4 linked regions of the Lepisosteus oculatus genome follow. The protein of the gene in region 2 purifies or fractionates together with the protein of the main gene of each other region. This does not show direct contact. Links are inferred from orthologs where the notes say so. Each region holds a gene or a part of one and is shown on either strand. Other genes may lie near its edges.

The links.
Region 1: the proteins of ilk (region 2) and raf1b purify together in Homo sapiens (affinity purification with mass spectrometry; 3 studies listed by BioGRID and IntAct, with this or other methods). This does not show direct contact. The link is inferred for Lepisosteus oculatus from reciprocal best matches to the Homo sapiens genes ILK and RAF1.
Region 3: the proteins of ilk (region 2) and cct2 purify together in Homo sapiens (affinity purification with mass spectrometry; 3 studies listed by BioGRID and IntAct, with this or other methods). This does not show direct contact. The link is inferred for Lepisosteus oculatus from reciprocal best matches to the Homo sapiens genes ILK and CCT2.
Region 4: the proteins of ilk (region 2) and sarcoplasmic/endoplasmic reticulum calcium ATPase 2 purify together in Homo sapiens (affinity purification with mass spectrometry; 3 studies listed by BioGRID and IntAct, with this or other methods). This does not show direct contact. The link is inferred for Lepisosteus oculatus from reciprocal best matches to the Homo sapiens genes ILK and ATP2A2.

What each region holds. Positions count from the first base shown.
Region 1 is NC_090699.1:62,314,015-62,321,562, reverse strand, and holds the start of raf1b (RAF proto-oncogene serine/threonine-protein kinase), read left to right. Parts: upstream 1-4,531; 5' UTR 4,532-4,835; exon of another isoform or gene 4,836-5,009; 5' UTR 5,010-5,163; intron 5,164-7,548. UniProt on the Homo sapiens protein: Serine/threonine-protein kinase that acts as a regulatory link between the membrane-associated Ras GTPases and the MAPK/ERK cascade, and this critical regulatory link functions as a switch determining cell fate decisions including proliferation, differentiation, apoptosis, survival and oncogenic transformation.
Region 2 is NC_090700.1:23,031,266-23,039,179, forward strand, and holds the start of ilk (integrin-linked protein kinase), read right to left. Parts: upstream 3,002-7,914; 5' UTR 2,826-3,001; intron 1-2,825. UniProt on the Homo sapiens protein: Scaffold protein which mediates protein-protein interactions during a range of cellular events including focal adhesion assembly, cell adhesion and cell migration.
Region 3 is NC_090702.1:23,374,657-23,382,039, forward strand, and holds the start of cct2 (T-complex protein 1 subunit beta), read right to left. Parts: upstream 3,011-7,383; 5' UTR 2,925-3,010; coding exon 2,922-2,924; intron 1,601-2,921; coding exon 1,526-1,600; intron 1,415-1,525; coding exon 1,349-1,414; intron 298-1,348; coding exon 186-297; intron 1-185. Other genes in the region: frs2a (fibroblast growth factor receptor substrate 2a), read right to left, coding at 7,129-7,383. UniProt on the Homo sapiens protein: Component of the chaperonin-containing T-complex (TRiC), a molecular chaperone complex that assists the folding of actin, tubulin and other proteins upon ATP hydrolysis.
Region 4 is NC_090717.1:10,109,578-10,116,498, forward strand, and holds the start of sarcoplasmic/endoplasmic reticulum calcium ATPase 2, read left to right. Parts: upstream 1-3,898; 5' UTR 3,899-4,604; coding exon 4,605-4,722; intron 4,723-5,620; coding exon 5,621-5,638; intron 5,639-5,748; coding exon 5,749-5,831; intron 5,832-6,921.

The sequences.
Region 1 (7,548 bases), on a different chromosome or scaffold from region 2:
AATAGAAAGGTCACTTCTGTTTTTAATGATAAAATACTGTATTTCACAATGGATATACTGTTTTAATATACTGCACAACAAATGACTACAAAACCATTTGGAGACTAAGAATAATTAGATTAAGAGAGAGAAAGAGTGGGCACTCTTTTATATATGAATTATCATTCAAAATATAGACCTGCAGTACATCCCATGTGGAGTCAGAGATACAGTATGAAAGTGTAGAATTTGAATCTAATATCATGATATATTAATTAGATTAGATTATGCTATTTAGTCTGCTTAAAAATAGTCTTTTCCAAACTCCCTAATAACATTTAACTATGATGCTAAATCATAGCTCGTGTTGGCAAAATTCTACCTTTGATTAAATTGTTAAGAATATTAAGAATAAAGACCGAAGACTGAAGAATAATATAATAAATGTTAACTTATATTCTATATTCATATTCCTCTGGATATAATCTCCAGTGAAATAACAGAGAGTTTGGAAAGGAATAAAGTAAGTGACACATTTTTTAGCTTTAATTTAAAACCTTTTGTTACGTGTAATCTTAATTTGTTTTACTGCACATACCTTAATGAGTCAACTAATCAACAATATCTTATGTACTAAGTACAGGTAAGATTACACACCAGAGAAAAAAGGCAAGATGTGTAAATACAAGAATTAAAAAATTTAACACTTGTACAATAGTCTTTTTCACAGCTCACATTTGTAACTTGGACAATATTTATAGTTTGCCTTTTTACTCATAATTCTTACAATATTGCTTTACCTTAACATATTTCATATACATTTTTGTTCATTTAAAGGTAATTTTTAAACCACAAACAGTGATGTAAGGAACATACTGTAGGTCACCATATTCAAAACACTTACCCAACCCCCATAGCTTTATAAACCCTTAAGTGTCCTTTAGTTCTTAGTTATATAAGGCATGAAATGTCTTGGTGTACAGGTGAGATGAACCTAGAATGCATTTCTAGGCCTATCAGCAGGCATCAGCACTAAATGTAGTTACCATCTGCAGGGAAGTCTTTTTAGATTTTGAACTTGCACTTTATTATTTCAGCCAGAGAGTGGCACTCTTTACTTTCTATGGGTTTATTCCTCTACTCTTTTAAAATATTGAGTTTTCAATACAGCTATTCTGGTCTTGTTTTATTTCCTCATATTAGACCAAAGGCAAATGTTAGATTCTTTACTCCATTGATCAATAGCTGACAGGTCACACAAAACTGATGGGAGCAGGGCTGAGTTAATTCGTTTTACTAAAAACCCTCCATAATGTATTGCTTTTTACAAAAAAAGAAGGTTTGTTTCATGTAATTGCACTACATGCCTTAAAAATAGACGACATTTACAAAGCACGTAAATTCAAAATGTATGACCTCCATTCAAAATCGATGCCATGCAATTGCTTTCTATTCATCTCATTGTGGTGCTTAGAGCTGTGTCATTTAATAAATGACCAAGAAATAATCCATTCACATTGTACAAGTTCACAGAGAATCATATGTGCTAGACAGTTCTGAAATAAGTTACAGCCTACTTGGATTACCTGGATCAAAATGGCTTAATGTTGCTTTTGATGGGTGCTTTTGGTTCAGATCAGAAAAATCTGAAATGTAGTGAAACTTGCAAAGCTTTGCAATGGCTAAAAAACACGAGAAGGAAATTCAGAGGGTTAGCCTAAGGTGCGGTTCATAGCTCTGAAATAAGAGAGGAAACAGCCTCCTAACGTCTGCACGTGCCCTCGTCAGCAGAAACTAAATATAGATGATTAGAGGGAACACAGAATTTTTAATATACATTTGTTAAGGGTTTGGTCAGTGAATTTAAACATAAAGGTTAACCAAAGCAAACCTTTTCTGTCAGCAAACATCCTTGAAACCTCTAAGGCATGCGTCGCACATACAGTAACAGCCTATTGCATATCTGATAACGTGCTACTGCATTTTACCCTTTAACGAATGGGAAGGCAGCCATGGGGAGATTAAGTCTGAAATTCTCTCATGAATTTTCCCAACTGCAAAAAATGATTTCTATCAAACCCATTAAAGTCAGAAGTAACGTGAAAACAAAGCCGGAGAAACTTACTGATTTTCTTTTGATGAAAAATAAATACAGCTCAGTGTCCCCACAAACTACAAAGCAGAGGAATACTTTTTATCCCACTTTTGAGTCCAGTTTTGCTATTGGAGTACTGGAGAATGAATTGTGACGCAAAGGCATTTAGGCTTCAAGTTGTGAGGTTTCTTCTATTCACTTTACTGTGTTGTGGTTGCAGGCCTGTTTGTAGCAGAAACTTCAGTTTTCATCTCTTTAGCTTTATTGTGGTTTGCTGATGACATTATATGACCCAGTTTCTGTCTTCTAGCAAAGCAAGACGGGGTAGGGTTAATCCCCCTTTCATAAAGCATGTCAGGAAATATGATTGGCAATTACCGTCTGTAAGAGAAAGGGTTTGCTTGTAGCCTTTTTAATTAGACGGAATGTAAAAATATTGAAAATAGCCTTAGAAATGGATCAGAGTTGAGTTGTAAGGAAATTATTTGTGTGCTGTGCCGAGGTTGATCTTTTTAAGCATTTACAGATTTGGGGATTTGTACGAAAGTAGCTCAACTGTTAGTTGTAAAGACATAACATATGAGCAGCATGCCAGCATTAACATTTAGGTCAAATTTCAGTGATTTTTCAGTGATTCGCTCTGGACAATGTACAGTTCATACAGCACTTCGGGGAAGATTCAGTTATGATTACTCAATCTTACACACCTTATAAAGAGGTATAGAATTTTGAAGATGAAGTTTTTGTGCAGTTAACCAGTTCCACTTAGTTCATACACAAGCTAAGATAACCTGTGCATCTTACGTTAATAAGATTACTGGATTTTACCTAGCTGCATTCTTTTATTTTTAAGATCAGTTATTACCACATATCAGAATCTGTACTGGGCAAAGCTGAAATGTGCACTTTGTTACGTAGGCTGAGATTACCAAGAGAATAATTGTTTGGCCAAGACAGAAAGCTGACAAGAACTTTTCCAATTAAAAATTTCCAGTATATGCTATTTGTCCAGCATATCACATCAGAATTACAGACGGACTTTTACAGAGACACTTTTGGTTGAATTTTAGTTCTCTGGAATGACAAAGAAGCTAAGATGACATGCCCATATCATGTAAATAAGTGCTGGGTAAAAGCAGGTAAACTACACAAGTGTTGTTTTCCAAACCTCTGTTTGATCTCCACCTTGTCAAGAGTGAGTCTCGTATCAAACATACAGTATCTGCAGTCAACAGGAACTGGAATGGTTGGCCTTTCAGAATTTCATGAGATTTTATTTTTTCCAAAACATTCTCTCACAAATGCTCTTGGAGGTACAAATGTATCTCCACTCTTTATTCAATATTTCCTAGTGAATCCGCTCACATACAGCAGTAACATTAGCTAGTTGAAAAATATCCCAAAACCTCATTGTTAATAATGTCACTGGCGCTGTTGGGAAAATGAATACTTGAAAAATGCCATTTCAAAATTCTGTTTTCATTGTTCAAACATCCGTGGATTGACAGTTGCTTTAAAAACAAAGCTGTAATTATATCACCTCATCACAGAGTTTCACTGAATGTAAAGCCAAGAAGCTAGTAGAAAAAAGACAACCATTGTTTATTTCTGGGCAAATCAATGATAAATGTTCACGTGATGTGAGCTGGTAAGAAAGAAAACCTGAAATAAAAAACAAAGTTTTGTTTGGATACTTTTCCTATCTCTTTTGATTTAATGAGCAACTTCAACAGAGGAAATTTACAGCATAGGGGAGGTGCCCAAAACTTCGAGCCTGCTGTAGCTTAGTGTTTCATCGATTTGTACATGAAAACTTTTAACTGTGATTTCATGGCAGTTAACAGAAAAATGTAAACCTGCTTTTTAGTTTTAATAGAGTAAGTGCCATACCAAATCAAAATATTTTCCATTCTACTTATATAATCATACTGCTTGCAAAAAATCCCATAATAACTGGTTTTATGGAAGAGATGATAGTTTCATGCACAACAGACAGTACTGAAAGAAGTGAAGACTGATGGCATACACAAAAATTCGTTTTCTTGCTTTCATTGCAAATAAAAAATAGCAACAATAACTCATTAAGAATTGTAGAAGAATACTTGTGCAGGTATTTGAATTTGAAATTTTGAATACTTTTGGAAAGAACTTTCTAAAAAAAACCCAGGGTACTCTGATGTATGATCAGCACATCAGAATCCATAATTAGACATGAAAATGAAGTCAAATAATATACCCGGCGATGTTTTTGCTTCTTCAAACAAAAGGTTAGCAGTGAGAGAACTCCCTCAATGTGTAACTGTAGTTATTCTGGGGAATGTGCTGCAGCTCTGTGTGAGTATTTTCAGTACTGCAAAACCTTTTCAGCTAGCTGTATTTTACCCCAGCGGTTAGTACCGCAAACTGAGCTCTAATGTAAGATTAATAGGACGCTCAAAGCGTACAGTGCCAAACCTTGTAACGTGAGGTACATGGCTGTAATTCTTGCTAGTCAAGACCCAGGGATCCAATTTCAGTTACTGGCGTCAAGCAGGCGCACTGGACTAACACAAAAACCTTAACCTTCTCAAAAGCGTCACGGAATGTGCAAATAGCGGCGTCTCTACTCAAAAATACAGATCGATGCACACAGCCTCCTGAAATGTATCTGGGAAAGGCACTTGGGCAGTGCCCATTGTGATTATCTGGTGATCAGAAAGTCCCATAGCAGTTAAATTGTTTTGGCTTTTTTTAGCTCACGTTCCCATGTGACACCCAGAAGGTGTGTATGTGGTTGCATTTATTTAAATCTATAAAGAAAGCAGTGTAATGGATCAAAGGCGAGGCTACGAAGAAAACCGAGCGAAACGCATTATAATCGTAAAATTCAACTAAAAGACGAAGAAAAAAAAAGGGGGGAAAAAAAAACACCGTGGCACTTTTTTTTTTCTTCCAGTGACCTCCCACACGATCAGTTTAATCTGGAGGACTGATCAAAACAGTTGGCTACACTAGCTCTTTTCTGCTGTGAATGTGCAGCTATGATGATGATGTCACCGAGTCTCCACTTTTTCTTCTAGTTATGGCGGAGCCGAAGTTTTCAAACTTGGGTAAGTTTTACCAGTGGCTGCATTACAACGTCTTGTTTCGTTTGACTTGGTGCTTTGCCTTTGTGAAAGCTGCGATCTAAACAGTTCGCCCTGTTAGCCTGCGAAATGTTAGCCGAATAGGTTTCAGTATTAATGCAAAACGTCGGTGTTTTGTTACGCGCTGCGAGTTTGGATCGGTCAGAGATGGGCCGTTGGTTCGGTGGGGGGGTAACGAAATTAGTTACGTTGTTTCGTTTTCATCTTTATAATACCCTACGGCAGAACAAAGCCCACAAAAGCTGAGGCGTCGTGAAACACTGGCGGAGACATTGTATTCCAGAATCTTAATGTGTTCAATAGAATGAAAAAAAAATCTTCAGTTCCCAATTTAATGAAGGGAGTTCTGAAAGAAACGCTTGTTTTTATCCCATTGTTGTGTTAAAGTATTTTACTTTTGTGTTGCCTGGTAGTTCGGAAAATGAATTATCGAAGCCCTGAACGTGACCGTCAGGCTTGTAATGTGCTATCAGTGGGAAACTGAAAAATTCACATTGCTTTGCAATTGGAGAGTTTGTGGAAAAACGTTTTAATCAGGTTATTCTCGTTGTTGTGCATTATATAGGCTAACATATTTTAAGAAACATCATTATGTGCAACGCCAACAGCAATCACTTCAAGAAATTCAAATGAAAGTTATACCGTGTTTACTATTTGTCTCACTTCAAATGTAACTTTAATGAAGTTTACGGAAAACACAAACTAGAATAAATTCCCTTTTTCGAAATGTGCTTTTTTATTAACTTCTTGTTTTAAGAACAAATCGTATTTCTACATTAGAGTGCCACACACGATCTTTATATTTTTTTTCTGTTAAAGTAGAGTGCAAATGAATATTATATTTGTGCTTGGATTCACAGTCATGATGCTGTTAACCTTGTGAAGTTGAAGATACAGTGAAATCTAGTAATTAGTGGAGAATTTAAAGAGACAGTGTCGCTTGATTCATGCGAGAGATTCATAAACACATCATTTACGATTATGTTTAATAATAAGGTGATGTCTGGGTAACTGACCACTTCAAAGAATAAGTATGTTGTTTTGAGTTTTTAGGCAAGTACAAAACGTTGATGATACATTTGGTATTTAATCGGAGAACATCAGTGATTTAGGAGGTTGTTCACAGTAAACGTTGATCGCAATGTGTAAAAACAAAATAAAAATAGAATAATACAATTTTGAAATGTAATTTCCCTGCTTTTCCAGACGTTCTTAGCAGAGTGCAAGAGAAGATAATATTATTTTCATACTTTATCTGGAATAGTTGTCTCTGTAATTTTAGACTACAATACCACAGAAAATTGAATTTGTCTGAAGTGGCTTATTGCTGTTCAGAAACTATTTGGTCACATTGTGGGTTTTGTGCTGGCTGGTGATTTGATCTGGTTTCTCAAACGTAGGGGGTTGTTATAAATGTATTGAGGTTTTATCTTCGATGTTATGATCGTTTGAAATGCTTTTTTAGGTTTGGTCTGTTGTGTATTGTTGTACAGATATTGTTGTATTGACTTGTTTCAAGTGGAATGTAAAAGTGCAAATAGCTTTGCCTTCCCTTTGCAAAATACTCTGCTACTGCAACAAATCGTGCCGTGTGAACTCTATTTCAGTGGCTGGATGCCTCCGTTCTTTAGCTTCAAGTTCATGGCTGGGCTTTGTCTTCTTTAGTTGTGAAAGGCTGTGCAGTGTTATCAACACTACCCATAACTACAGATGCACAGGTGGCTCCATGCTTTGTCTCTTTCTGTGCTACTCATCTCAATATTGTTAGCCTCAGTGGACAATTTCGCCAATAAGTTGTACTCTTGTGTGTGTCTGTTCTGCCTCAGAGGTCAGGTGTAGGTGAAAAGAAACCACAGTCAATCCATATAAGATGATCGTGATCTGAAGGGGTGTTATATAGCCCAAATGTGAGTACTGTGTTTGAATTCTCAGAGTATGTTAATCTCACCTAAGAATATGTAAATGTTACATATGTTGTCAAAAAGTTGTGGCCTACTGTTTGGTGGTTTTAAATGTTTTATGGCCTGTAAAAGCTCTTCAAAAGCTATCAGTTAATAAAAGGTGCTTGCAATTGGCAATTTGTTTGTTATCATTGAAAATGCACCAGCCTCAGAGAGTTTAAATGCTTGGTTTTAAGACATTCGCACACAGCTGAATTTGTGTGAGCCCATGTTTTAGTATCTGGAGGTGATGGAGAGTTAATGCATTTTCTCTAATGATTTTATTTGAAAAGGTGTGTAAAAATTCAACTGTGAAATGCTGAGCAGTAGGCCTAATAATCTCTTTGTTATTTTAGGTTCTCTCTTACTTTCACTGGCTTCATTTTTTCTTTGGTTCAAGTCGTGGAAA
Region 2 (7,914 bases):
TTTTTATTTAAAAGTAAATAACACCGTATAATGTTTAAATATAAAGTGTTATTTTTTAACAATAAAGAAGACAAGGAATTATTAAATAGTTATTAATAAACACCTCCACCTTGAATACTTTCAATGGTTGCAAACATAAGGGCGAATGTTTGTCAGAGCTTAATGGCCATGTGTAAGTAATATATAAAGTGCATCGTGACTTACACCTGTGTGAGCATTAAACCCCAAACAACACTTGCATCAATGAAGTGCACAGTACTGTGGAAAAGAAATATCCTTAATTTCCTGCATCTGACCCTTGAAAACTGGTACTGTGGGCTAAGATGAATTTGCAAGTTTTCAAAGTCAAGACCTCTGACAGGAAATATTACAGATAGCTTGTAAGGGAAGGGTATGGTTAAAAAAAACTCTAAAACTTGCTACAGCCACATATCACCATAAAATGAAGAGGAAACTGTTGTTGCAATGGTAATCCTGCTCAGTAAGAGAGGGACCGCAGGTTCAGACATTTGGCTCATCTGCTTGGCTGAGGAGCCAATGGTGCGAAGCAACCATTTGTGGGATTATGACTGAATGCCTCTTAAATCAGAATCCTGCCTAAACGCTACTTACATGGTGAGATTCCCAGCCTGTGCCTTTGTTTTCAAACTGCTTGATTTAAGAGAGTAAAAAGATAAGAAACAAATGTACATCTACATATGCTCTACCCCTTGCGTTGTCTTGATTTTATCACCTTGATTCTATGAAGTTGTGTTGTTTTAAAGACTGAAAGGTACATCTTTTTTTGTCATTTATCTGCAAGAAGGGGGATCACATTTTTCTCTTTATGGCTGTTAAATCATTTTTGCTTTGTTTTTTTTTAATGTATCAATCTCTTCTTTGACAAGGATACTATAAATTATTTCAACATATTGAAACTTTGTAACGTTTGTAATGTAATTGAATTCTTCCCATGTTCTGTGCATTTGTCAATACCTCTCCATTTTATGTTTATTCTAGAATAAGAGACCTTAATGACCAAGAGACAGGTGATTTTTGGGGTTCATTTGGCAAAAGTTTTAGTGATGAAGACTGCTCAACAATGGCTATGCTGGCATGGAAGTCTGAAGGAAAGGCTTCATCAACAAGTGGCAACGGTGGATGAAAGCACATACTCCTGGACCGTGATGTCCTTGCATTGGTTCGAGATGCAAAACAGACAAGTATGTCTGAGTTTCGTCAAGTACAGTCTGTTGAGAACTTCGAAGAGGAATACTAAGGCTGGGTTGTGTTGCGTAACCCCTTTAGGGCCTAAAATGCACTTCTGCAACTAAAGCATTGCAAAGAACAAAAGACGGTGATCCACTGAGCAGGGAAAAAAATCATATGGTCAGATGAGTCAGCCCTCACCCTGTTCTCAACTGTTCACGGTAGCCCAATGCCCTGGTGTTGCCTTTATTTTGACAGTTATCTGTATATATTTCTAAGTCAAAACACTACTGACTAAATTGCAGGTCAACAGATTTACTGTTGCTTCTACACATGACAAGATTTAGTGTGAAAAGATTCCATAAAGAAAACCTTAATAAATTGTGTAGTTAGCAAACCTGAGCATCAAATAAGCCATTTACACATAAAGAGCATAACTTCTCTATACCTGCTGCATGTACTCAAAAGGCAGGAAAGTTAATTCAAAATCTGTACTCTCACTTCTTCAGTGGATTTAAGCTTCTCCACCTTGGTGGAGGCTGAGTACTTTTAACAAAATGCTTTGGGTTGATGGCAGCGATATAAGATTTTAGATTTTCAAAAGGAAAATGCTGCAGCAGCTGTTAAACCTGGGTAACCACGGTGCACTCGATTCTTTAATAAATTTCTTACGATACAGTACAGCCCTGAAGTGCAGTGATGAATAATAAGTGCGTTTACCTCTAAATCCTAACAGATATATCATGCCGAGGTAACCTGGTCCAACAGGGAGGGGTCAATGCCGTTCACCTGAATCACACCTTAAGAGCTTTTAGCTAACGTTTACGACGCACATACTGTGGATTCAGATTACTTAACAGTTTAAGAACTAAGAGTTGCAGATGCCATTAAATAGCAGAATACAAATTTAAAAGCTAATTGAGGACAATTAAATTCAAATGTCGCCCTGGTAATTGGGAAAACCTTAAAGGAAAAACTCTCCTGAAACTTAACTGTGCTCCGTCGTCAAACATGGAGCACAAAACCTCTCACTTCATCACCCAGGCAGGGTAAACAGGCTGACCCCTCTCTCGAAAAACAACTGGGAACGGAACCAGCTTTACTCCACTTTCACATAACTGTGACGGAGACCAGGAAATTAGAATTTCAGACTAGGACCTAATTATCATAAAAAGTAAAACATCCTCATTCGCTCGTCTTTATTTCACACAGCAAATTAACCACCAATGAACACCACTTCTATAAACTATAGATCCTGTAGGAAGTATACATCAACTTCATCGCAAGTTATCTGCGGTGACTTCTGTCCACGACAGCAAATATCCATGCGGCTTTCAATTCAAACAAAATTGTGCGCATTTAAACAAACTTTCAATATTTAAAACCTCAGCAGAATCATTTTGACCTGAAATGTCAACAGTAATAATGCTTTGACGGTTTATAATGAAACACCGTTAAAAAAAACGAAAATGAACATCCCACACCTTGGAAAAAATAACTAGGCTAAGCTAAGTTTTTTTTGCTCCCGTATACCCTTTCTGAACCGGACGCAAACAAGTTACAGCTCTAACATTTATAAAAACACAGAGAAAATGTCCCACCTTAAACACAAAACAAAGAGTCATGTATTTTTTTACCTGCACGTTTGAATAAAGGGGTTTTTCGCTCAGATTATGTGGACGATTACACTCAACCCAACTACGTCCCCCGAGGTCCACACCCTCGTTTTGCTGTAAAATCTCTTCCTTTCATGGGGGGGAGGAATGCGCTCTGCATTCTCCGTCACAGCGCCACCCACTGACATATCTCTTTCCGTACAGCACCGAAACGCTCTCCTAAACTACTTTCATTCCCTCGTGGAAATATTATTTCCCAGTGACGACTACCACAACTAGGCGCCTCAAGTGATATGAACTTGTGTTACCGGAAACCCTGAAAGACATGGGCGTACTGTAACACTACAGTGTGAAAAATTACTTCCTTCTAGCGATACATTTTAAAATATGTGGGCTTGTAAAGCGCCGCTCGACCATGCGCAATTGAACGATGTCCAGTACACAACCTAAATTAAGACAAAACACTAATTTAATTGTGTACAAAGTTTGCCCTATCAGCTGAAAATAATTTTGCATCAAGATAAAATGTTTCTTAAGAATAAAAACGTTATTCCGAGAATTTCAGAGTTAAAGACAGTTACATTAAAAACTACCATTCTAAACAATGCTAAAATGATTTAATGTTTTAATGAAGACATAATTAAAGAACTGACCTTTTAGCAGCTAACGAATAAACAATATTATAGCCTAATTATTTATCTAACGTTTAATGTATTGTTCAGAGCTAAATAGTAACAACATCCTGCTGGTGGTGGGGATGAACGCTGTTATTCGCAGAATAAACTTCTGATTTTTCAGGGAAAAAATGGCCTGACTGCAAAGACGTTAAGAAATGAGAAGTCAATTATGTATGCTTTCATTTTAATATGTCATACATAATATTTATTTTTTATTTTAAGTAGTTTGCTTTATACATCAATGAATCTCCAGTGAGCCTCAAACACTCAGGAGTGTTGTAATGTATGCAAAGTTTATAAAACGTTTAAAACGTAGTTAACCATAGCTGTTAACAGATAGATTCTTAATATTACTGACAGAAAGATCATGTAAATTAGAACAGCTGTTATTGTTTCTTCAAAATAATAGTGACTATTGAAATAATTAATTGTCATGGACAGGTGACCCCTAAAAAAACAATACTTATTCTTTTGTGCCCAAACTACATACAAAGGGTGCTAAATAGGCCCCACATTAACTTTCCAGAATAGTACAAAGAAACCCCACCTAATCCAGTTATCAACATATATCTCCAATGAGAGGTCCAGTAGTAGTTTTCTCTGAAACTAGCTTCGGTCATCTACTTTCTTCCATAACACCATGGAAAGAGATGAAACTCAGTGTTGTCTCTAAGTGGGTCTTAGGCAACTTTTCCAGTCCTGCCCTTCATGAACAATGTAGTTCCTTCATGGCCCCCCCTGCTACCAAGTCCAATGTCAGGTAGGGGGAATGAAGATGATGCCAAAGCCTTCCTCAGCAAATTCCTGTAGAATCCATGGTGTCTTTGTCCTCTCCAGGGTCCAACGGCCAAACAAAATTCTTCTGTCAAAGATTTATTTTCTGTCCTGTCTAGGGCTTTTTATCTCTTAGAAACAAAGGGCTCCTTACTCTTCCCCCTGGGGTTTTGATCATTTGCTTTAATTCTAAATTTCTGTCCAATGCATGAAAGTGCTGCCCAATAATGTTCATCTCTGTTTATAGACTTTCCTTCATGGCATATTGTTGATTTAATAGTAAATCGCAATTTACCAACACCTTCCAATTCCAATTGCAGTTCTCAGTGGAATGTGTTCTGGGAATCTGAATTACAATAGTCTGTGGACAAGAGCTCAATCGTTACTTCCAGACCACTGTTTAATGGTAAGTGGCTTGTTGTAATCATTTGTATGACCATCAATTTTGCATTTATCATTTAGACTAAAAATTTTTGATTGTCTTGATAGGGTTTTATGTATGTGCTTTTTAAAGAGTTTCTAACCTTTCCACACATTCATTTCTGATTTTACATCAGAAATTTGTGGTATTGCTGAAATCTGCCTATTAGTATGTCTGTCCATATGGGGATTGATGACAATTTTTTTTTCCAAAAAAAATGTTATGAACCAAAATAGGCATTGGACCCTTTGTTCTCCTGTGTGTTTATATCTGCCATTGCCTTAATGTAATTTTTTTTTAAACAGTGAAGACATTGAATCATTCAAATTCTATATGCATCCAAAATCAACATTTGAGTCCACAGCACCTGTTGTGATACTCGACTTTTGAGATTGGAAATAGACTCTGTGACAAGTGTGTTAATGCATATACTACCCATGAAAATGCAGGTGTCATAAATATGAGAGGACAGGTCTTCTAATCCCGTGGAATTAAGTATGACACTGAAGATATACATGCCAACATTGTGTCTTTGACACTTTCCACTATACTGCTTTTTACAGAGTTCATGAGTTCACTAGCTTGCATCATAACATGACTTTAACTGGCCCAAACTAAAGTACACCTTAATTCATGGCCCTGTGCAGTCCCATTGACAGCTTTCCCACACCTTTTGAGATAGCTTTCCATAGTGTCCCCATTGAAAATATTTAGTCATGCTCTGAGCAACACTATGGAGCTTCTAATATATCTTCTAATACAGTTGTTAAACCTGCATGAAGTAAACATTATGACACAATATTGGCTTGTCTAATTGATTTTTGCTGCAAAGACATGCTCCCATGTACAGTATACTTCCTGAAGGACCTTCCCTTGAGATGCTGCACTAAGGCAGCAAAGGCAGTTCCTGGGAAAGGGAAAAGTGTGATTTTGGGCTTTTTTTGATAAAATTATCTCTGTAAAGTTTGCTGGGTTATTATAGCTGGTTTTGGAAAATTACCACTGTGCTCTCAACCTAGTGTCGGGTCCCCAGTACCGTCTGGGTGCTTTATCTTGTGTGTTTTAATTTCAGGGGTGTTCTCATAACAGCTACCATCTAGATTAATACCATCGACATCACTTCTGCAGGCATCCATACTGTGCATACTGTGCTGCACGGTCGCAGTCTGGGAATGGGAGGTGCTCTATAAACCCCAGCAGGTTTAGCAAAGACACTTATCAGACAAAACCATGGTGATGTACTATTAGCTGAGGGTCTGTAGAAAAGATCTGAGGTATTTTTGGAGAGGCACAAATTTTGGTTTGGTCGGGAGGGGGGTGAGACAGCTCCCTGTCCATTGCTGCACAATCCCAGTCTGGGAACAGCAAGTGGTCTTATAAACCCCAGCAGGTTTAGCAAAGACACTTATCTTTGAATAATAACCTTTCGTAACCTTTGAATAATAACTTCAAATAATAATTTGAATAAATAATTATTTGAATACTAATACTAATACTAATACTAATACTAATACTACTACTAATAATAATAATAATAGTAAGGAACAAGTAATAGGTTTATTCCATGCTGAAGAAAAAGAAGAAAGGAAACACAATGTTTCGGCAATATAATCTTCTTCAGGTGTGAGAGAGACAAGGCAGTAAGCAAAGGTAAAGTAGCGGGAGAACAAAGGCTGGGAGGGAGTAGGAGTGAGAGGCGGGAGCAGGGGACAGAAAGAGAGGCCAATCAAGAGGTGTGAAGTCAGAATAGGTGTAGAGAGGTGTGAAATGAAACTTCCAATAATAATAATAATAATAATAATTGCTTACACTTATATAGCGCTTTTCTGGACACTCCACTCAAAGCGCTTTACAGGTAATGGGGACTCCCCTCCACCACCACCAATGTGCAGCATCCACCTGGATGATGCGACGGCAGCCATAGTGCGCCAGAACGCTCACCACACATCAGCTATCAGTGGGGAGGAGAGCAGAGTAATGTAGCCAATTCATAGAGACACCTATGAATGGAGAACATTTTAAAAAAGAGTAGTCTGTCGTTAAGAGAAGGGGGAAGGTGTGATCCTAGCTGCAGGATAAGTTTGGTTTCGGTAGTCTTACTGATGAATGAGTTCAGAAAACCGTCTTTGATAACACAGACGGAGAGATTAGATTGGTCGTGGCCGTCAGAGGTAATAACCATAATAAAACCATGGTGATGTACTATTAGCTGAGGGTCTGTAGAATAGATTTGACGTATTTTTTGGAGAGGCACATATTTTGTTTTTGTTCAGGTGGGTAGCTGCGTCAGCATGCGTAGGCTGCAAAGGAACAAGTAATAGGTTTATTCCATGCTGAAAAAAAGAAGAAAGAGAACACAACGTTTCGGCCGTGGAGCCTTCTTCAGGTGTGACACCTGACCAATCTAATCTCTCCGTCTGTGTTATCAAAGACGGTTTTCTGAACTCATTCATCAGTAAGACTACCGAAACCAAACTTATCCTGCAGCTAGGATCACACCTTCCCCCTTCTCTTAACGACAGACTACTCTTTTTTAAAATTTTGACACCTGAAGAAGGCTCCACGGCCGAAACGTTGTGTTCTCTTTCTTCTTTTTTTCAGCATGGAATAAACCTATTACTTGATATTTTGTTTTTGGTTAGGAGGGGAGTTAGACCACTCCCTGCACCCTCACTGCATGGTCCCAGTCTGGGAATGGGAGGTGCTCTATAAACTCCAGCAGTTTTGACAGGGACACTTATCTGACAAAAACAAGGTGATTTTCTATTAGCTGAGGGTCTGTGCAATAGATACCATCCACCTTTGGAGAGGCACACATTTTTCCCATCCAATTCTGCACTGCAGTTTTTCTAGAGGTGGTCCACCCAGACCAACAATAATAATGAAGACTTAAAACTGAATGAAGAAGGGTGATATGCTATTGGACGACTGTCTTAACATGGTATGTTTCACATTTGATGGTGCAAAACATGTTTTTGTCCCTGGTTATAGTTTAAAAAACTGATTGAATTTAAATATAATAAAGGATTTGATTTAATTAAAATTTCAGATACAGCTCCTTTAAAAGCTTACATCTTAAAGCCTTTTTCATTGAACAGAACAAAAAAATAGCAATGACAATTCTTACAGTAGTATAAATGTAAGAAAGGTGCTGTAAAATTATTAAAAACTTCTAATAATCTTAGATTTGTCAAACTTAGTATTGGCGATTTAAAATTAAAAAAGGACCCTCTCAAAT
Region 3 (7,383 bases), on a different chromosome or scaffold from region 2:
AAATGCTTCGGTAAACTGGCTAAGCCTTCATCATGTAAGTCAATGAAAGCTGGCGCGGTGCACTGCAGTACATGGGCGAGACACCCAGCTGCAGCCTGTCAGTAGGAACATACATGTAATAAAACAGTCACGCCTACAGCTGGGCACCCCTATTTCCTCACACTGAACACAAACCGCACACTTACCAACCAGCACTTTCGCGGCAGGGTTGTCAACCCCAATAGCTTTCAGAATGGTGGCCCCGTCATTCGTAACTGTCACAGAGCCATCCCTTCCACTGCTGAGGAGAATCTTGTCCTGTATAGAAGACCACAGGCTCCATTAGAACAAGAAACGTCAGGACCCATCTGTCCACCACACCTGCTGGTTTTCATTTCACCCCACATTAATCAGATATCTGAAGCCTTAAGTGATCTAAGAATTTGCTTCATTGTAACATTTGCATTTTGTTTCTAGTCACAAGTTTGGGATTTTATTTCTCTTACTAGATACAGCTGTTCAAGCCCCAACACTTTTAAGATCAGGGAACAAAGAGATAAAATTAAGCTTATTGAGTCAATGAGAGGTTTGAACAAAATCCAGCTAGTGTGTGGCTCACCAGGACGAATCACTGGAATCACTGCTGTAAAGCATGGGGAGTGTGGATCATGCCCGAGTCGGGTCTAAAAAATGTGAGAAATAATTATGCTGCAATTATACGACTGCAAACAAATGTCCAAAATCAGCGCAAGTGTATCAGGACAGGGACACTGTGCTGTAGGAAGACATGATAATCTACTGTATAAGAATTTAAACTAAGAATAAGAATTGGATTCTTACGTTGAAAGTTGGATAAGAATCCCAACTATTTGGTCAATAAAAATCCCATGGCACCGCAAGGGTGTGTAAACTCTGGCCTCCTGGCTATACTCCACTCTGGGTTAACACAATCTGGCCTAACTCAAGTTTGCTCTTAAGTCAACTGGTCAACCAGCTCTTAACGTCTCCCACTGGTCTACAGCAAGGTGGGGCTACAGGTCCATCAGCCAGTATACAAAATACCTTCCAATCTTAACTTTTAATCCTGTAAATATCACAATTTGTACTTCAATGGGTGGCCTTTTGCATATTTTGCTTTGCAACCTGATTAAATACCAGGATGTTCTAATATCGCTGCAGTGACAGTGACACATTGCACTGCTTTGACATTTCATTCTGAAAGCTTCAATCGCTGAGCAGCATTAAATGTCAAGTATGATATTGTACTGTTGAATCATCCAGTAGTGAGCATGTTGATAGAGGGATATTGAACACAGACGTCTTTTCCATTTAATACACAGTCTGTGGAATCATTGATAACGACACATACCATTCCCTTCGGTCCCAAAGTGCTTTTCACCAGATCTCCAATGGCTATGGCACCAACAAAGGAAGACTAGAAAGGGAAAGAAAACACAGAAAAAAGTAACATCCTGAACTGGGATTCTGCACAATGAAAACAGCTGTGTGCGTTCTTCAGGTACCTGCTGTAAGGAGCAGCACTTACCAGTCGGGCTGTTTCTGCTTTCTCCTCATCTGCACCAGATCTAAAGATGTTCACGGGAGCCAGTGAGAGGGATGCCTGCAGAGAAACCAGGTTCCGACATTACTCAAGTTTTAAAGGTCTATTTAAACCTGTTATTATGTATTTACGAAACCAAAAATAATACAACTATACCAAAACATCATTTTCTAATAGTGGGCTGTAATTATTTACTGGCCGTCTTTTAAAGTACTAAAATACCAATCTGATTCACTGGTTCATTTACCACTGAGGTAGTACGTAGCGCACAGAAAGTGAAAAGCTACCTTTAGATGTACTCTGTGATGAGTGTATTCGACAAAATCACAGCCTCTAACATGCGTAGCTGTCTAATAACCGCGACCACTACCGAACACTCCTGGAAGCGCGTCTCTGCTAAAAACAATCGCCTCAAAACGACAAGCAAAGCCAAAACACGGGATTGTAGAGCAAAAGAGAATCACGGCGAAAACAAGGCAAACTAAAACTCGGGAAATAAATCGGCCTCGGAGAGTCAATGTTTATAAAAATCGCCAACGAGACAGAAAACAGCGAATACGCAGTATTTTAAAATGTCCCGTGAAGGAATGATCTCCCGAAGAAGTAGAACCTATTTTTCTGAGGCAAGTGCAACGTAAAAACAATGCAGTCGTTACAGAAAAAAGTAATCAAAGCGTATTTATTGAACTCCCGTTAATTCTGACTAAAGAGCATATTTCTCGCATTTTTCCCCCATTTTCAGCAGCTTCCTAGACCTTACATGGTACGATCGGCGCTCGCTAAGGTCCGCATCGCGCTGTGCGACAGTAGTCCCTCCCCTCCTAGAAACAACTAGAATCACGGCAGGGCCTCCGCTTTCTCACTTCGATGACAGTTATGCCAGATTGAATTCTCGGTCTTAATAACTCTGCCAACAGGCCGAGGTCTACAATGAAGCTGCGATTCAACGACTTACATTTTGATGTTCTTATAAAGGAATTCAGTGCGGCAAGGCCTACAATGAGCCGTGGCCCATCCATGATCTTGCAAAAACCGGTAGCTGCTTTTCGTTCATTGTAACCCTTCACGGCTGTAATTAGTGCACGCTTTTTTTCTTCTTATAAGGTTCACATGACGAACTACACCGTTAACCCAACTCTCCTTTGTGTGTACTTTGAGACAAGTTTTTTTTTTAAATCATCTCGGGATCTTTAACCAAAACCGAGAACAGCCTACAGGAGCCCATGTGCTTCCTTCCACGCCGAGCCGAGACCTTAAGTCCGGAATCTTACGCTGGAAAATCGACTCCAGAGCTACAGTGAAAAACTGGACTCTTATGACTGTAAATGAGTAGTTTTCAATCTGAAGATTTGATTATTAATTCATAAATGAAGACGCTTACCATCTTTCCGCCGGTACAAAGCACACAGCCACACAATCAACTGTCTCCTTGCGGCGGCAATGGCGTTTGTTATGACGTCACCGCGTAAGGCCTCGCCTCTCCTGACGCTGCGCGTATAAGCTTTAAGTGTCGATTCCTACCAGCTCAAAAAAGCTCTCCCGTTCGCTTAGATCACAAATTATATTCTATATCACGAGCATTACAACTGAAACAAATATGCAACGTCACCAGGAAAGAAAACGAGAATATATATATATTTTTAATGAGCCATTTTATATATTGAACAGGTATTTAATAGGCGAATTCATGATCGACATCGGTAATCAGCTTGGTTGTGTAACAAAAAGTGTACTGTAAAAGTCACAGGCTAGTGGCGTGTCTGGCCATACAATTGCTCGCTGAACAAGTGCGTGCCCGTTCGCAAGTCTTAATATTTCAAAATGTATTTTTATTTTATTCAAAACAGACAGACAGGTTTCTTATGATGTTCAGTGTGAATGCTTGTTAAAATGGAAGAACTTACTGTTGTGATAAAAAGAGGAAATTTGATATAGTGGGAATTTCTGATTATGCACTCATCACAATCACACGGAGCTTTTCTCAGCATTTCTTATGCCATTTACCTTTTCTGCATTTGCCCATAAGTATATTGAAGCTTTGTGAATGGTATCAACCCTGAACCAACGTCTGACATCCAGAACTGCTCTCATTCAGCCACTGCAGTTCGAAATGTGACCGACTGGGCCTCCGCAGAAGGAAACAAAACTTGGGACTGTGGGAGTGTCTCATACAGCATCATTCTGTTTATCAGATCATCAATTAGTAAGAACCTTTTAGTCAGAAATATGGAAAAAAAAAACAATCTAGCGAGAGGCTGTGTAAAGCTCTGTGTGCCGAGGTTGTTAGAAACAGGACAGCTGAAGTCGAGTATCTGTGACGTTCAGGACAGGCCACAGAAACAAGTATGTTTCACAAGTATGAAACAAGCAAGCAGATTGATGTAATCATCAGTTAGCACTGGAGATGTAGAGCTCACCTGGAATGGAAACCAGCAGACAGGACTCCCGCAGGACCAGTGATGGGGACTATTGTATTATTGTGCACTACTACTGATATTAGTATCAGTCTTGTCACAGAGGTCATGGAGCAATGCAAAGTAACCAGCACTTAGTATGGCAAATGAATAGCAGTTATCCCTGGGCAGGAATTAGGCTGGTGGAATACGTTGGCGATATCCTCTTTGCTAAATGTTTGTTTCTGCATCTCACTGTGGAAGCATTAAGGTCCCCAATATTCTAGATTGAATCTTCTGACGCTTTTGGTAACTAAATGGGAACTACCACCTCGAAACCTGATCATACAGACAGATGAGAGGATGAGCTCATGTTTGATGACAATTCCAAAGACGTCAATAAAAAGCGGGTCTGGTAAATAAAGGTGTTTAGCTCACTGTACAGTTTGTATTGGATATTAAATGATTCACTTGTGCTACCCAAGAAATTTTAACAGAGGATATTAGCTATTATTAGCATAATAACTTTGGTACATGATATATCACACCTTTAGCATTTAAACCTGTTAAAAAGGGCTGGTGTTTAAAAGCACTGTTATGTTATCAAACCACACATTCAGACACTAAAACTATTTTCAGCATTATCTTAACTTCTAATACAGGTGTATTTAAATTTATCACATTCATTAAGGTTCATTAAATCATATTACTGCAGCCTATGCTGAAACAGAGGCACAGGAATGTGTACATGCCCATGAAATATTTGTGCATCAAAATATGTAGATTACAGGAGAGAGGATTCTTTGAATTTACGATTTGCATCACTTCAAAAACTGGGTCAATTTTTGTGTTTTACAGGATTTTGTACCCTCTTGGTAAGAGGACCTAACACACTTAAAGACACACTTTTCCAACAAAAACATCACGTCACAAAAAAAACATTGTAGATTGTTTTTATTGCCATGCTACAAAAAATAATGTTGGCACAGATGGCATTTGACAAGATGTAGATATCACAAAATACACTTTTTTTCCTCATAACATTTGTTTTAAAAAATTGGACCATTCTGGTGAACCAATATCCATACCTGAAAAATGCAAACATCAAAATACATTTAAATTAAATGTTTGTACTTGACAGTGGTATAGCTCTGTGTGTGTTGGTTCATTTGGTGCATAGTTATTCTCCTGAATAACACAGGGAAGAGATAACAAAACAATTGAAGAGTAAAATTTTCACCTATAATGAACCCCAAAGGCATTTGTTCAAGGAACATCGTTTCCAAAAAATGGTTTGGCAAGGGTTTTTGTTTTAAACTACAATTTAATTGATTTAATAAACAAAATCTATTAAACTACTTTTATACACACTTCCTACATTTAGGCATTTTTATGGTAGGTAGAAAAACTATCATTTTTAATAATGCATGTTAGAACATATAATAAATCTTACAATATAATACAAGGTAACTGATGAAACATTTGTCTTGAGACTTAAAATACTATGAAAATGTCTGACAGTTTCATATATGGTAAACTTTTTTTTTTGCTGCCATTATCATTCCCATAAGGACACTTGATCTTACTGGTGGGTACCTAAAAGTCAGCCAGCAGACCTGCCAAAAAATTATTCATGATTTCTAGTTATGGATAAGATACAACGAATGTTTCAATTTAAACAGCTGCAATGATTTTATCAAAGCGTTTTTTCCAGCTTGCATGCAGAAGGCAGAATAAACATGCCTGCTTGTCCAGAGGTACAGAGAGAGTATTATTAGGTGGAACTCAAACACAATTGCTCTTACAATGAGAAAGCAGCCTACAATCTTTTTAGCACACATTCAGAAGGTAAATGTACCGTTTCCTTTCAAAGAATGTGAAATTCGGCAGATACGCAGTGGAGATGCACTGTCAGTAAACAAAATGGGTTCTTCAGGTACTGAAACTGAACAGGTAAAAAACCAACAGCATGTAATGTGTTATTCAAGAAAAGTGAATAGAAAAGTAAAATTGAAGACATTGCTGACTTTTACCAAGACACCAGTGGCGCGCCGTGACAAAACCAACCCGGTTCATATGGCCCATGCCTTCCCAGCTCGTTTAACCGTAACACATTCAGTGCAATAAGTATACACACCTACAAAATTAGATATATAACATTAATATAGAGACAGATGGAGAAAAACTTCAGTGGCGAGTCAAATAGAAATAAAAATGTTTTGAACAATGTAACATTTGATCCCGTGAAAGATCCAGCAGTACAATAATTTAATTCCACTTTAGCCGCAAGAAGTCTATCACCACCTTCTTCCAGCGTCAGCACAAGTATTCTTGCTGTATAGTATCTCTTTAATGACAATCTCAAGACAACTAATTTGCCATGTTTTATGAGCAAAAAAAAAGGGGAGAATTTATACAAGATGCTTCTTCTAACACGTCCTGTTCATAGTCTAAAACCTACGGATTAATAAATGGAATAATCCACACAAGGAGCACCTTTTAGAGTGGTTCAAACAGGAACTTACTGCAGACCGTACCACAGAAGCATCTCGGGTCTAACCAGGGACAGAATCCACCTTAACATGAGAGACTACAGCAACAATAAACCTGTTCTCCTTCTGGCTAAATTACATGGTAGTCAAATGGAAGTCACATGACAGAATAACCTGCGGAAAATCACTCCTGGCCAACATACAGATGAACATGACTGGCTAACCTTCACAGAAACTGCTGTCGTTCTTTTTAACTGCTGGCTATTGTTTTACAAGTGAGAGTGAACTGATGTTCAATTTTAGATCACGAGGGGCCACTTGGAGAGCAATCTGATGTCCTCAATGGCAAGACACCGCTGGAAATGGGACAAAGATGATCATTAAATCTCATTTTGGAGATTTTTTTCTTATTCCACCAAATCACAGAGTCACCGAAAAAGGAATGTTTAGAACAACCAACCCCCACCCCCAGAAAATATCAGATCATCATAGAATAAGATAGTGTTACATGGCAAGTACCTGGTCTACTTTAATTCCCTTTAAAGTCAGCACAACGTACAGTGTAAATCCATGACTAGCTTAAAGTCTCCAAAAGCTACTGTATTTGGAAAAGAAAGTAAAATATATCTGAAGCCCTTCTGTCCTTAAGAGTTTTGTTTTTATCTGGAAAAAAAGGTGCAACTTCACACAGTGCTATCTAGGCTCACATAGGCAGGTCAGTACTGTTGTGTCGTGTTTTCCTTGAAGTACCATCATCGCGTGGCAGTGCCTTCTGCAAACTAGACATGGCAGCAGTCCGCTCGATGTCTATCACTGCATACAGTTCTGTTCTGCGAGTCGGAGTCTGTGGGAGAGGGGTAGTGGGGGTTTTGGGGGTCTGAGGGTTATCTGAATCACTGCCTCTCTCCATCTCCACCTCAATGTAGTTGAGCTGTCTGTGCTCCAGACTGGGCCGCCT
Region 4 (6,921 bases), on a different chromosome or scaffold from region 2:
AGCTTACTTGAAAACCTTTTGGTCAGGTAAAAGGCCCACTTATCTGCCAAACCCTTTGACACACTGACATTAAACGATTTCTCTGAAGGTAACATTTTTTTCATATTACGGTCAGATGTGAGTTATTAAAGCTTCACACCTGGAGGAAATTAATACTTCTCAATAAACATTTTTTTTAAATAACCATTTTTGACCACTTTCTTGACTTCAGAAGAAAGAAAAAAAAAGTGTCTTGAGCAAAGCTTATCATTAAGGTAGCTGCTGCTTTCTGTTACATATCACCGTCACTTACCTTTTAATCCTGTAGTGCAAGAGGTTACCGGTAATTACATCATCTCTACTTTCCTTCTGCTGTCTCTGGTATATACCCCTGCAAAGCTTTATTCCTGCTCCAGTGGGATTAAACCATCACCTGGCGGCTGCGTGAACTCTGTCACCCTCATCTCCTCATCTGAGGGATTATTTATTAATGTCATCATTCATGGATTTGATCGCCTCTAACGCAGTGAGAGGTAACAGAGCCCGGGGTGACATTATTTCCTCCATAATTTGCCAAACTAGTGGTTTGTGGCACATCTTGCTATCTTGCATGGTTAATGACCTTATTTGAATTTTAATTGTGATTTTTCCCCGCAGTATATAAGTCCTCTCCTTCTTTCCTAGAATTGTGCTCCTTCTTTCCCCATGTGCTCCTGTGTTCTAACTTAAGATCCATTATTTTACTGGGAATAGCATAAGTAGTAAATGAGAAATTCTTACAGTTCTGAGATGAAAAGAAATGTTACAAAATGGGACAAGAGCGTATTACACTTTTGGCCTTGTTTTCGGACAGCGGATTCATTTCATAAACAGTTGTTCAGCTGTCACATGGCCCCACAGACGCAGAGAAGACAACCAGGTTAGAGGTGTTTTCTAATTATGGAATGCTTTAGGAATGTCTTGTTTCACCAATTTTGCAAGTGACTCATTAAACACATAAAAGGACTTCAGATTGATGCTGCTCTGTGACAAGCAATGCACTCTACAAACTGCTGATCTCAGTGTTTCATGAACAATTGCAGCATTAATTCGTCATCTATCACTAGTTCTGTAATTACTATCATTATTTTGTTATGTCCATTTCATGTTCACCAAGACAGGGGTACTGTACTGCATATCACTGAATGGAAACACAAACATGTACAACACTATTTATGGTAACATGCGAGATAATTAACATTTTTATTACAACGATGCAGTGTGAAATGCAGTTGTTCTCTAATTACAATCATTTGGAACACAGTCTGTGGTATTAAATAAAATTAGCCTTCATTGCTAATATCAGCTTAGTGGGGTTTTAATTGGAGTGACCCAGAGTAAATCTTCATGCAGTAAAGAGCAGTTGTGACTACATGCTGCCATGATTCTGTGTGCAGGCACTTAAAAAAAAAACCTTGCTTTCCTAAAGCACCTGCTTGGGCCTTGTCTGTCAGCCGTACTGTCATCACTAACCATGAGGTGAAAAGAAAGAACTGGGTGCTCCTGTGGGCAGCTGGGGTTTCCAGACAAATGACTTCATTAGGAGAGAGACCCTCGGGTCTCTCCTGCATGATCTAACGTCAGCCTTGTACATTGCAGCCTTCAGGGGCTCAATAATCCCAGGAGGTCCTCGTTTCATTGGAGGTAAAGGGACAGAACAGCACAATAATGTTTTATAGATCAGCCGCGGATCCATAGAGCTTTTTATGGAGAGAAAAAAAGGAGAAAGCTTTTCACACGATTTCAATCCAGACAGTCTACACTCTCCTCCACCCAGTTCATGAGTCTGTGAAAGTAACTAGTGAACCGAGCAGGAAACAAGTCCAGGTGATGAGCGTGAGCTAAGTGGAACATTCAATAAAAATAGAGCTGTGCTGAGCTGCTTCCATTTTCTAAAGCCTGCCTTTTTACATTTTTCTGCTCACTGGAAGGTTTGCCGATACCGTTCTCTGCATTCATCTGCTATTTAGCTGCACGTTCTTGGGATGCAAAAATTGTAAAAAAAAACAATTAGTAACGACCTTTTCCCTATACAGCATTCTTTATTGTGTCTCAGATGGGTCAGTTAGGACGGGACCTGCAGAGGTGTCTGTGCATTTTGGAGAGGGGGGACAGGGTTTAAGTGTACTTTCATGAGTGCAAGAGACATTTTCAAGCACTTAGAATGGAGATCTTGAAACAGCTGGTTTATCACACTTTAAAACACGTGGTGGCTCTAGTGTAGCCAGTGAAGATGTGGTAGCTGGTAACCAGCAGAGTTTGATACCGCAGTGTGCAGAAGTTGTTCAAATCGTGTGCGAAAATATACTTTGACTACTAAATCTTGCTTCTTTCAGTGATCAAGTAAAGTATGTCTAGTTGGAAACACAATAAACTTATTGAAACTGTAAAGAGTTGAGCCTCTCAGGCAGAGCTCCAGGGGGAAAAAGTGCAGGAAGACTCTCTGTCATACCCCAGGTTTCCATGGTGGGGGAGCCTTTCAAGTCTTGAGTGAGAGGCTGTGGGTTCGAGTCCCCGCTGCAGACACTGCTGTTGTAGCTTAATGAAGAACTCTACCCCCAGTTACTCCAGTCCTTCCAATTGTAGAAGTGGGGACCAGCTGGTGGGGTAACTCCCTGTCCATCCATCTGTGGCAAGGAGTGATCATCTGCTCTATTGCCTGTTCAACACTCCTGAAACTAAGAAGAGCTCTTTTATATTACAATTGCACTCCAACATCACAGGAAAAAATAACTGCTGGTCATGGGATTAATTTAGTTGCTGTAGAACAGGAAGCTGGTATAAACCTGGTGGTTTTGTGTCAGTGGGAGTGGGGGTCTAGCAGGTGAATGAGCTCTCTTTAGCATCGGGTACACTATTTCTCTCCCATTTCCCCGATCCAACAGGGTGGCACTGATCCCTGTCCAACTGAACTCCAGCGTGCAGGTGTGAAAGTCACCCACGTGAATAGGGTGTATTTGAATGGGTCTGGGGACTGCAGCGACATGAGCTGACACTGATGTAATACGATAAAAGCGTTTACTTTAGCGCGCTGTTCCAGCACATTGCATTACATTGTTCCTGCACGCCAGCAAAGGGGCAATACACGTCAGGACCGACCGCATATGACCATTTCCAGAAAAACGAGGCAAGAAGTGTAAATACCTCCTAATTACATTTCGCGAATCACAGCGCTGTCGCGTACTTTTGACCCCGGGTTTATAACTACTTGGGTATCTGGAAAACAGCTTCTCGGTAAAACCTCGCAGCCTGAGCTGTAACATAAGCAAAGAGAAGGCTGACACCCGGCGCATAACTCTAGCTGGCTGTAATAGCATGACAGCATGACATTTGCGTTCGCTAATCCCAGCAAATGACCCCCCCCCCCCACCACACACACACACACCATTCTAGGTTTGAAGGATGATAGGAGCGAAAGTCTTTAATCACCTCCAAGGCCAAAAACGGAGGCTATTCAGAGAAAAATGGCAAACAAATTAAACTCCCCTGCCAAAGCATCTGAACTCGAGCTCCGTCGTTTCCCAAAACATATTTTTTTGGGGTCAGCGGCAGCACCTTGGAATTAAAACTGGAATCGACCCCCCCCCCCAGTTCAAATACATGCACATTGTGGCGTTGCCTGTAGATCTGCGAGTGGAGACATCTTATTGTGCCCCAGGGGAAGGCAGCGTGTGTGTGGAGGAGGAGGGGGTGGGAGAGTGCACGACTTCACAAAACCAGACAAATCGCCAAAGGGTCCCCCCCCCCCTTCCCCTGCGCCGAAAAGGTTAACGCAAACGCGTCTGCGTCACCGCTCCCGGATCCGAGGGGCGGCGTGAGCCGGGCGCAGCGTGGAGATCAGCTGATCGCAGCGAGTTTCAGAAAAGAAAAAAGACGGGCCGGAGAGCGACGAGAAGAGCGCACACACACACAGCCCCACCAGATTTCCGGACTCCCTCCATCCAATGAGCGCACTCCACATGCGGAGCAGGCGAGAGGGGCAGCAGCGAGTGAGGCACTTTCAATAAAACGCGAGTGGCGCTGGACGGGCTGAGCCACTGACGAGAGAGCGGCTGTGACACGGGCAGACGCGCACCCACGGCAGCCTGAGGAGTGCACTGGCCATTGCAGCGTGTGGCACGGAGGGCGACTGTTGCAGCCGGCTCCTCTGGGAATAAAGGAGACACCTTAAGCAAAGTGGCCTGGGGAGGGGATCGGTTGTTTTTTTTTTCTCTTTTTTAAATTTTAAGCGTGACTTAAGTCGGCAAAACACGCGCATCAAAAAAAACATTTTGGACGAGAAGCTGGCGGAGGGGGGAGTCACACACACACGCATCGTTTTTCTTCGTTCTCCATAAGTGCCGGGATTTCTACATAAATTCTAGATATTATTATTTTTTTTTCTCACCCCACCGGACGTTTTCTGTATGTAAACGCCTAGTTTTAGAGTATTTTACGCCTTTTTGTTTTGTTTTTTTTTTCTTCTCCTTCCTTCGCGAAAGGGACGTGCGGCGAAATTGACACGGACTGAAAGGTGGCCGAGTCCACAAAGTGAGAGAGAGAGAGAGAAAGAAAAAAAGTGTCTTCACAAGGGGAGCATTTCCACCATGGAGAACGCGCACACAAAGACTGTGGAGGAGGTCTATAGCTATTTTAACGTCAATGAGAGCACAGGGCTGAGTTTGGATCAGGTGAAAAAGAATAAAGAAAAATGGGGACCGAACGGTAAGTGATGCCGTTTCATTTCCAGAAGTCTTTTATGTATACAAATATGTGTTGGTTTTTTTTTTTGTGTGTGTGTGTGTGGGGGGGGGGGTTAGTGGTTTATTTTTACGCAACGCAAGGCCCGTCTTATGCAGCCAGGTTATAGTACAGTAACCGGCATGCTCAAAAATGGATAGTGAAAATGGCTGACGTCATCATGTACAACCTCGTGGGTTTTTCAATCCGTTCGCCTTATCGCGGGGGAAAGAGGGAAGCTCGCCGTTAACCTTGAATGCGTGCGATAACCGACCCGGTGGGTGAGAATCGGAAGATTTCGGAGGGGAGGGGGCTGTTCTGCGGCTGTTCCCCGGTTCCAGCGGGCTGGGGGGTTGGGGGAAAAGCCGGCTCAGGGCCTCGGACTCGGCTTCCCAGCTCACGTTTCTCCCTGTCTCGTCTCAAGCCCGGTGACCTAGCGAAAGCGCAGGTGAGGTGGGGGTTGGATGCGAACAGCTCCGGCCGCCTCTCGGCTTCATCTCACCGGCGGCGCCGGGCTGGCTTGCGGGCCGCCCGTACTCACTTCGCCCCTGCGCATGACTCGGCTGAACCAGCCCTGTGCATTGCAACACCGCCGATTCCCCGTGTCCTCGGCGTGGACACCCACTTCCTCGTAGCGACGCGGAGCACGGCTCGGCACACGCCTGCCACTGCGCCCGAAGACGCTGCGGGGAGCGGGGGGTCCTCATGCACGGCCGCCCTGGGTCGTGTTTCAAATGTCAACAAAGCGCACATCTTATTAGCGTTGCTGTGTAAACGGAGATTTTGATCTTTTGTTGCCTGTGTAACTCTCTCCTCTTCCTCTCCCCCCCCCCTCCTCCCCCGGTCGCTTTCTGGTTTGTTCCTTGGAAACACGCAACCCCAGAACTGCCAGCCGAGGAAGGTAAGCAGCACCGCCGTTTTATTAATATTTTAAAACCCCCCATTTTTTTTTTTGGAGGGGCTCATTCCGTTTTATTCCACTCTGAATTTGTCTGTTTATTCTGTCCGCAGGAAAATCTTTATGGGAACTCGTTGTCGAGCAGTTCGAAGATTTATTAGTCAGAATTCTTCTACTGGCAGCTTGTATATCCTTTGTAAGTATGCGCCTCGAAGCCTTCACCCAGTATCAGTCCCTTACAATTAAAAAAAATGAGGCACAGATCACCAAACTGTCCTGGGTATTTTCCCGATGCAACCTCCCGGCATGCTGTTGAAACTTACTTTGGCTGCCTTGCAGGTGTTTGACCTGAGCAGGCAGCTCTAAATGTTTCACTGTAAATGAATTGGGCCCAGAACTGGTGGACATCTTACTTTTTATGTTGAAGCAAATGCTGGCGTGCATAATTTGCATGTATCTGAGTGCAGTTTTACTTTGATGCTCTTTGCACCTTTTCCTCCTTGTGTAGGAACTCTAGAATGAGTCGAGGAGAGTGTAGTCCTTGTCTAGCTATCACTTATTAACTGCGCATGCTTCTTCCTGACAGATATTTGGGTATTCAGTTTAACCTCAGTACCTGGTTCTCGTCGTTTGCCTAAGGTCAAAAGGTCAAGTTCAGGATGGGCTCAGGTATGAGTTGTGTAGTTTTGAGGAGTAGTCCAGGATAGGAGGCCAGTCCTTTGCAGGAATCCCCCCCCCCAGCAATGCTGGTCCCTACTTCTACAGCTGGGAGGACTGGAGCAACTGGGGTCAGATACCTCACTCAAGTTGCACCAGCAGTGACTCGAACCCGCAGCGTGTCAGTAAAGAAGAAACACACCCACTCTGCTACACTGCCCTAATCTACTAGTAATTTATTTATCACAGCCTTTTGCATGAGTCTGGAAGGATACTTACTGTGGCGATGAGGGATTTTGTCCTTTGTTGAGATTTATTCTTATTTGGAAACTTCTGTGGCAGTATAGATTTATTGCTTAAACATCAGCCGTTCCTTATGCAGTCAGAAATGCCCAAATATAGGCCTTAAAACTTTTAAGCCTAAATCTTCGCAAGTTACGTTGTCCCTGAGTGAACTTTAAAACCTTTTTCCAGTGGTATGCCTACTGTAACACTGTAAACGTAATGTCACTCTAGAGAACCTGGTGCCATTAATGTGTTAGACCAGTTTCCAGTCAAGGTATTAAGATCCTAACCTAGTTTTTTAAACCGCCCACGTCTGTGGCTGTTAATATTCAAAGTACTTGGCT